Coturnix japonica: one gene and its partner. The protein of the gene in region 2 interacts with the protein of the main gene of each other region in a pairwise test. Links are inferred from orthologs where the notes say so. Each region holds a gene or a part of one and is shown on either strand. Other genes may lie near its edges.

Region 1 (4,390 bases), on a different chromosome or scaffold from region 2:
GCACCCCGAGGTCAAAAAGGGGATGAATGAGTGAGACCCAAAGGGGTGACACCGATGTCCCCAGCCCCGTCACTCACCTGTGGGAGTAGAAGAGCACATCGATGAGCATGGTGGCGATGGCAGGCAGCGTGTCGGGTGCCACCGTCAGGATGCAGAAGCGGTTCTGGGGGCTCTGCACGGGGTGCAGCGTGGGGCTGGGGGCTGCGGGGCAGAGGCAGCGATTGTCACCGGGGCCTTTGGGGACAGCACCGCAGTGCCACCACGTGGCCACCGGGCCAGCGGCGTCCCCTGGGGTGCCAAAAAGGCAGGGGTCCCCAAAGCACGGGGGGTGTCTGCAACGGAGCGTCCCTTGGGCACTGGGGACGGGGTGGCCTTGGGGACATCAAGTGACGCTCACCCGACTTGGGCTTGAGGAACCCATTGCTGGCATCATCACAGGGGACTGGGATGGATTCACCGTTCTCCTCCTTGTAGATGTCGAACTCCCCGGCCAAGGTATGAATGACCACAGGCAGGTCCCGCTCCCGCACCTGGCAGCGGCGCGGCATCACCGTGGCTGTCCCCAAAGATCAATGGGGTCCCCACCATCTCCCACTCAGCCCCATGGCACCATCCCCACTGAGCTCACCAGGATGAAGTCGGTCTGGTAGGTGGAGAGCATCAGCACCGAGACGTGGTGCTCGGCCAGCGGCGCGATGACGGAGCGGGCGATCTTGGTGACACCGGTGGCCTGGCAGCCAGAGGGAGCGCAGCCATTGGAGACAACGCTGAGCACCAACCAGGTGGAGTCTGCCACCTGCATGAACTCGGAGGGCGGCAGCTCTGTGTGGGACAGGGAAAACTGAGGTATGACACGGGGCTGTGCTGTGTCCCCAACCCCAATGGGACCCCGCTGAGAGGGGACAGTGGGTCCCAGTCTATTATGGGTGCTGGAGGGGGCAATGGCTTGATCTAAGGGATGCAGGAGGGGATGCTGAGGGTGGCTGCCCTCTGCCTGCAGGCAGCAAAGACATCGTGCACCACAGGGTGTAACGCTGCGTACATCCCTGCTCTGATGGCACTGCAGGATGCTGAATGCCAGCATACAGGGACATGAGTCAGTGCTGTCCCCATGCAGCAAGGGGCAGCCCCACACACAGGGCTGGGAGCGCTGATACTGGGAGCAAACCTTCCAATCTGGGATGTGCCTCTCGTCCTGCACCTGCAGGGCTGGCCACGAGTGGGTGCAGCACACTGAGACCCCGGGGCTGTGCACATCTCCCACCCCATCCTCTGCCTCCCGTGTCACACCGGAGGGGATGTGGGATGTCCTCACACCGTGCCCGGCTCTGACAAGCCGTAATCCCTGAGGCTGAGCCCATGCTGGCAGTAGACCAGGGCTGCCTCCCAAAAAGCTGCTGTTGTTGGCAGGGAATGAGTGTGCCGGCCGGTTCCTTCCTGCCCCACGCCCGCTCCCCAGGAAGGAACGGATCGGGGCCACGTTGTTCCTTCGGCACCCAATATCTCCGGGTGGGCACCCCCAGACCTCACTGCCCGCTGCTCAGCAGCAGCCATTCAGTAACAGGCTGAGACCACCCCGCTCACTGCAGCGATGAGGGAGGAGCGAGGCCAGATGTGAAGGTCCCAAGCGCAGGGTGCTGGCAGCTGCTTGTTCCTGCACAGGAAGCCTTCCCGGGGACGGGGACCGCGGTGCCGCGTCCCCACTTAATGGCTTTTCAACACCCGTGGGCTGCAAGGGGGGCTGCGATCATATGGGTGCCCCCAGATGTCCCCGTGCCTTGGGGAGCAGCGGGCCCCAGAGCCTCACCCGGCCCCAGAGCCGTGAATTGTAACCCGGGGGTGCAGCGCGGCCCCATGGGGTGCCTGGGGGTGCTGGCAGCCCCCCAGCCCGGCGCCGTGCAGCGCCTCACAGCCATTGTTTGCCGCTTCCCGCCCGCCCCTCGGGATCGAGGAGCATTATGTCCAAAAGGTCCCGAATAAAACAATGCGTGGGGATCGGCCCCGGTTCCTCCGGGCAGCGGTGGGGAGCTGGGCTGCAGCCGGGTGGGAGCGTCGCATTGCGGCCGAGCCACTGACCTTTGGTCCTCAGGGCGTGAGCAGGAGATACAGCCCGGCCGGGGGGGGGGGGTCTGGAGCAGAGGATGGGGTCAGGATTGACCCCCAGCACAGCCCGTGGGGTCAGACTCCACAGCAGGGCTGCACACAGAGCGTCACTACACAGCGATGTCACCCGGTGCCACCTTCCAGGGACAGGGACTCAAAGACCCTCAGCACGGCCCGGCAGCGGGATGCGGGGAAGGGCAGCACTCCCACTCCCCGCCCCGTCCCATTGCGGAGGCTCAGCCGCGTCCCCGTGGCTTTAGGCAGCACCGGAGCTGCCAAACAGGGAGAACCTGAGCAGGGCAGTTCCCTGCCGGCCGCTGACCGCACAGCTCCGAGCATCGCCGGGCTGAGGCCGGCCACAACTCATGGCCGCAGTGTCGGTACCTTTGAAGCCCTCCTCGTCCAGCATGATGGTGTAATCCTCGGGGGTCTCGGTCAGGCTGAAGAACTTACACCTGCCGGGACACAACGCGGTGCGGTGGGACCGAGAGGAGGAGGAGGAGGAGGGAGGGGGGGGTGAGGAAGGGGATCGGTACCTGCAGCGCTGCGGCAGGAAGAGCAGTTTGAGCAGCGGGTGGGTGTAGAGCCACAGCCCGCGGCGCGCCAGGGACAGCACCCGCACGCGGTGCTCCAGGATGTGCAGGTCCATGGCGGCCGCGCCGCGACGGGACGGGGCTCCGTGGGGCTATAAGGGCCCAACGGGACCGGACCGCCCCGTCCCGGCACCGCCCCGGGCTGCGGGAGGGGCACCCGCCCGCCCCGCCCCGTCCCGTAACGCGTTGGGGCGCTCTCGGCCCGTATCCATCCAAGTCGGGGTAGGGGGGGGGGTCGGGATCCGCTGAGTTCACGGGAGGGGAGGTGTGCGGGAACCAGGGTTCTGCCCCGCAGCCGCTTCGTGGGCAGAGGGATTTGGGGAAGGGGGGATGGAAGTTCTTGCACCATTCCTGCCTGCAGGGAGCACCATTTTGTACGTGGAAAGCAGAGAACGGAGGCTGCGGGGGGGGGGAGCGGAGCTGCTCCCGGTTCTGCTGCGAGATGGGCAGCCGGCCGAGCTGCCCCGGGGCTGGAGGTGACCTCCAGGTGCGTCAGCACAGCTCGGCGTCTCTCATCTGCGCTTCAAACAGCGTTGGGCCCCGGGGCTGGGAGGGGCAGCGAGGCGGTCACCTCCCTGCTGTGTCCCCAATGAACCCCTTTACAGGACGCTGCAGGACACCGGGGTGGGATAAAGGACGGTCGCACATCATCAGGTGGGATGCACGAGAGAAGTTCCCCCGCAGTTATAGGGATGCTGCCACTGAGTGATGCCACCTCTGACCCCGCAGCCACCACCAGGCAGGGAAGGGAGGCCCCAAACCACACTGCGTGCACACAGCAAGTGTGAGCAACAGCATGGAGGGGATGGAGGGGATGGAGCACCCCTGTCCCCCGCCACGGCACCCAAAGAGACGTTGAACCCACGGAGCCGCACACGCTGCGCCTTTACACAATCCTGCTTTATTTCCCCTTTGTACAAAACCACGTTGCCCCGCTGTATTTTACAAAGCCTCCCCCTGCCCACGACGCAGGGTAGGGGGGAAGAGAGGGGACCCCGCAGCAGGCAGCACCCCCAGCCCCGGCTCACCTCGGCCCTGCAGGGCACGGGGTCTGCCATCCAATCCTGCTGCCTCCGGTGCGTCCCGCCTGCAGTTCCCAACCTCGGCCCCCGGCCTGCAAGAGTTACTGCCATGGAGGAATAATAAATAGGCTCAGTGAATAGGTAAATTCATACTACATATTGGGCTACAGCTTGATACATCCTCACTAGATAAAGAGGGGGGGGTGGGGAGCAGAGGCTGCTCCCAACTCCTCACGTACCCCCAGCCCCAAACAATGGGGAGCTGGGTCTGGGTTTGCCCCAACAGCATGGGGTGGGCAGGGGATGGGGGGAGGGTTGCAGGGGACGTGGGGTGATGGGATGAGGAGGGGGGGGCTCGTGCCTGGCCCCTGAGGGGCGGCGGAGGAGCTCAGGTGGCTCAGCCACCCTGTGCCAGGGCTCCAACCACTGAGGTGCCAGCACCCTGCAGGGCTGGGGACAGCACGGCTGGATGCACCGCCATGTCACCGCGCTGGGTTGAGCTCCCACTGGTCACCCCACGGGACCCTAATTGGGCACCCAGCCGGCGCCCCCACGGTGCCACACGAGCCCACATCAGCCACGTCCTGCTCCCTCCAGCCCCGAGCCCCCGTTGCCAGGCGCCACGAGGGTCCCCTCCCACCCTGGGGTCCCCCCTCCTGCCCTCGGCCGCAG
Region 2 (3,908 bases):
GTGCATGTAGCTTTCGTTTAATGTATGTTGAGCCACATGTTATTGAAAAGACCATTCACCCAAATGTTCAACTGTTCCTAAGAGGTTTTTGACATTTCTAACGTTATCCCCTGCACATCTTAGACACCAGATGACAATGCTGATGTATTAGAGTACGGAAAATAAATTCTGAGTAACTTAAAACAGGACAAGTGAAATTAACGATGAGTTATCTATTAACTGCAGAGAACAATATTTTCCCCAACTTATTCTGCAATGGTTACTACCCTTGAATGAAGATTCTATTTCTGAAAAAATAACAAAACTAAAAGCTACCTTGAGTAACTGTCCGAATTATTAGGTTTTCTTTTGTTTGATAGAGCACCTGTGCTCATAGTTCTTGCCACACTAGGAGGGGTTGACATCCGTGATTTTGTTGCACCTCTAAAACAGAAAAAGTTATCAATTAATTATATACACACACACAAGAATAGATTATGTGTTACATACCAAAATTAGTTCAACAATCCATCCATCACTTTACTGTATTATTAATAACTTATTTCCTATGAACACCAGACAGAAAAATCTTTGCCACAAACTTGCTTGCTTTGGATTGCATATAAATGTAATCCTGTACTGCAAGCTAAATGATGGCTTGCATTTTGACATGATAGCCATAAGTAGAACCCACTCTATTGATCACTTAGTATATTCTGTGGTCTTCCTTGACAGACTCTAAGTCATTTTATAGTATTGGCAGGGATTTCAGGGAAATAGAAAGCAGCAGTCCGCAGGTCACAATGAACTGGTGACTCTTATTAGCATCAGTATACAATTTCTAAACTCCAGTGCACACCCTAAATGCACCAAACATGTCTGTGCTTGCTTTGGTGAGTGGTAAAAACTTCAGAATTCCCTAGAAAAAAACTCTGCAGCATAAAGGGAAAAAAAAATAAAAAATAAAAAAAAAATGGGAAGGAACATCCTTTTTTCATCAGTGATCAGGGACAGAATTTTTCTTCATTGCTCAAGAAAATTTCTATTCATCAGGATTTCTTCCTTGGCAAGGACTTAGTGACTATGATATCTTGCACATGACCAACCAAGTTTTTCTGTTCTCATTCTTGAATGCTGACGAATAAATTAAAATTGGGACAGGCTTATGGATATTAAGAAATATTAATACAACATCTCACATAAAATTTAGTCACCAAGAGCCTGATCAGTAAGAAAAATATCCAAATTTAGTCACCAAGAGCCTGATCAGTAAGAAAAATATCCAAATTTAGTCACCAAGAGCCTGATCAGTAAGAAAAATATCCAACAATGATTTTTTCCAGATGAGCCTATCTGCTCTTTTCAGAATTACAGACAACATACTCTTGGTTATGGTTTTCCAAGTATAAATGAAGAAAAAAAGATAAAATACGGCACTGACACAAGTGAACAAAATTTAAGATTGAATCAAGTGAAACTGTATTTGGATAGAACATTCAAATTTAACAGGAATGGCTTCTGCATTCAACAGGCATAATGGAATTGTTGGAGATTCTGGCACACTGGGCAGAATACCAGCTTTTTCTCCTTTAATTTTCCTGACTGCTCTCTTACTTACGAAGAAATTCTAAGGATGTTTTAATTAAAAAAAAAAAAAGTGCAGATTGAAAGGCACTACATAATTTCTACATAATTTTATATCAGAATTAAAACCTAAGTTATATCAGTTTTTCAGACTTCTAGGATAAAAGTTTTAACCAATTCAAATTATGCTGTTACAAGTATGCACAACTGTACAGGTTGTAAAAGCTAGCATATGTTATCTTCTCTATCTCACTTAACATTGGAAACAGACCTTCCCTTAAATGTAAGTAAAATTCAGTAAAGCTTAGTTGTGCAGGAAACACATACTGGACTTTTACTCGCTCTGAAAGCTAGGAAAGTATATTAAGAATAATTCAGCTGAAGTAATAGAAACAGTGGACTGGGGATCAATGATGATGAAAGAATGAATAGAACTGTGTCCCAGTTCCTGTTTAGGCAATGCTAGATACTTTAAACCAAATTCTTCTAATCTATCAATAAGTCACAGCTTTCTTTTTCCACCCCCCACAGATTTTCATCATCTTAAAACCATCATCTGAATGGTGCCCAGTATGGCATACAAGCTACTGATAAAAACAGAAAAAAAAAAACCAAAAAAAAACCCCCAAAAAGCAAAGTACTGAAAAACATGGCAAAAAAATCCCCTCAGATATATTCTCAGTCTTGACTTCTACATTTTCATGAGTAAATCAACAGCAGAAGTAGTAGGCTGCCACTGTCTGTAATTTCATGCTCCCCTCATCAAGGCACTAAAACTAGAATCAGATTTAACAAACATATGATAACCAGTTTTGAAACTGAATCTGCACGGTGCAATCTGATCTACAGAGACAGATGTCTTCCAGCACGGTCACAGATTCTTCATCATCTTCCCCTCCCCTTTTATCCTTTTGCTTCTTACTAGGATCCGAAGTTGAAATATTTTTAGGATAAAGCCAGTATATTTCAGCTTTGGTTACAACACTAAAACAACACTGCAAGATTTAAACATGTTTATGCCCAATATGGCCTACGTAATTCGTTACTAATTACTCTTCTGTAATAAGCTTTGAGGTATTTATGAAAAAAACAGTCCATTGTAATTTGGAAGATGTCAAATTTTATTACAGTGTTAACATCATATAATTATTTCCTTTTTAAAAGACAGAACATATTTTCTTGCAAAGCAGCCTTGATGTAAATCTTTCAACATAAAATCTTACTTATACTCCTGGATAATTACAGCTATCTTACGGAAGGAGAAGGAGGAAATATTTGACTTCAAGAGCATAATAAAATTCCTTTGCCATAAAGTATTTGTGTGCAAGGCAATCATAAAGTTATCAGCTGTTCTACAGGTTTAAATGCTTAAGCTTTGCATCATATCATTTCAGTTTTATCTCAGCTTTACAGGGCACATTACTCTGAGTGCAGAATCAATGACAGAAGAAATCAAACCTGAAGAACATTTTCATCACCTTTCCATTCCTACCATGATGCAATTTGCCTAATGTGAAAGAAATACTTACATTAGTTATATTCCCACAACATTTATAATGAAAATGTACTGGGAAGCAGATATCTATCAAGGCCACACTTCTAATATTCCAATGCTTTTGAGGAACATTTCTGTACAACTGACAAACCAAGCTCATTTGCAATACTTACTTCTTGATAGGCAACAATTCATTTGGTCTTTTGATGGTACTGTCTGTTTTTGTATCAGTGTCATAAAACCTTTGCACATCTCTTCCAGTTCGCAGTGGTGGGCCTAACTTGTCCATCTTACTACTAAAATATATAAAGTGGTACTCATAAGGAGATTGTCAGATTGCTATTTAAGTTATTAAAAAAAAAGAAAAAAGTACTTGCAATTACATATCTATATTCTCATAGAATTCTTATTTACCAAAAAGACATTTATCTGACACAAATCCAGCAAACAGGAAGGGAGTTCTTACTTTAAAAAGGGGGTAATTTGGTAGGCTTATAACTGAATTAAAATTCCAATGCACATATTAAAAAAAAGAAAAAGATAAAATTATTGCTAGTTATATTTATAGTTTACATAATACACTCACACTTGGGCTTTTTTCTCATAAGAATCCTTTTTATAACAACAAATTCATCCCCATCTAGAAAACAAGGTTCCTATTTACAACTCAAGCCAACTGCATGAAGATGTTAGAAAACAAAAGATGCAAGTATAAGGCTTTTGGATTAGTAGGAAAGAAAAACTGTTTCCCCCCCCCACACCATTTTATTTTCTTAAATTAAAGCTCTGAAGGTTATATGAGAAGAAATAAGGAAAAAAAAAAAACAACAAACCAAAAGAAAGACTGAAA

What was found. The genes of interacting proteins can lie anywhere in the genome.
Region 1: the proteins of ZC2HC1A (region 2) and CASTOR1 interact in binary tests that used the Homo sapiens proteins (3 or more experiments, as listed by UniProt). The two-hybrid records come from large-scale screens. The link is inferred for Coturnix japonica from reciprocal best matches to the Homo sapiens genes ZC2HC1A and CASTOR1.

Annotation. Positions count from the first base shown.
Region 1 is NC_029530.1:9,678,795-9,683,184, reverse strand, and holds the start of CASTOR1 (cytosolic arginine sensor for mTORC1 subunit 1), read right to left. Parts: upstream 2,834-4,390; 5' UTR 2,753-2,833; coding exon 2,640-2,752; intron 2,559-2,639; coding exon 2,488-2,558; intron 823-2,487; coding exon 629-822; intron 531-628; coding exon 398-530; intron 202-397; coding exon 78-201; intron 1-77. UniProt on the Homo sapiens protein: Functions as an intracellular arginine sensor within the amino acid-sensing branch of the TORC1 signaling pathway. As a homodimer or a heterodimer with CASTOR2, binds and inhibits the GATOR subcomplex GATOR2 and thereby mTORC1.
Region 2 is NC_029517.1:109,106,255-109,110,162, reverse strand, and holds part of ZC2HC1A (zinc finger C2HC domain-containing protein 1A), read right to left. Parts: intron 3,355-3,908; coding exon 3,232-3,354; intron 424-3,231; coding exon 316-423; intron 1-315.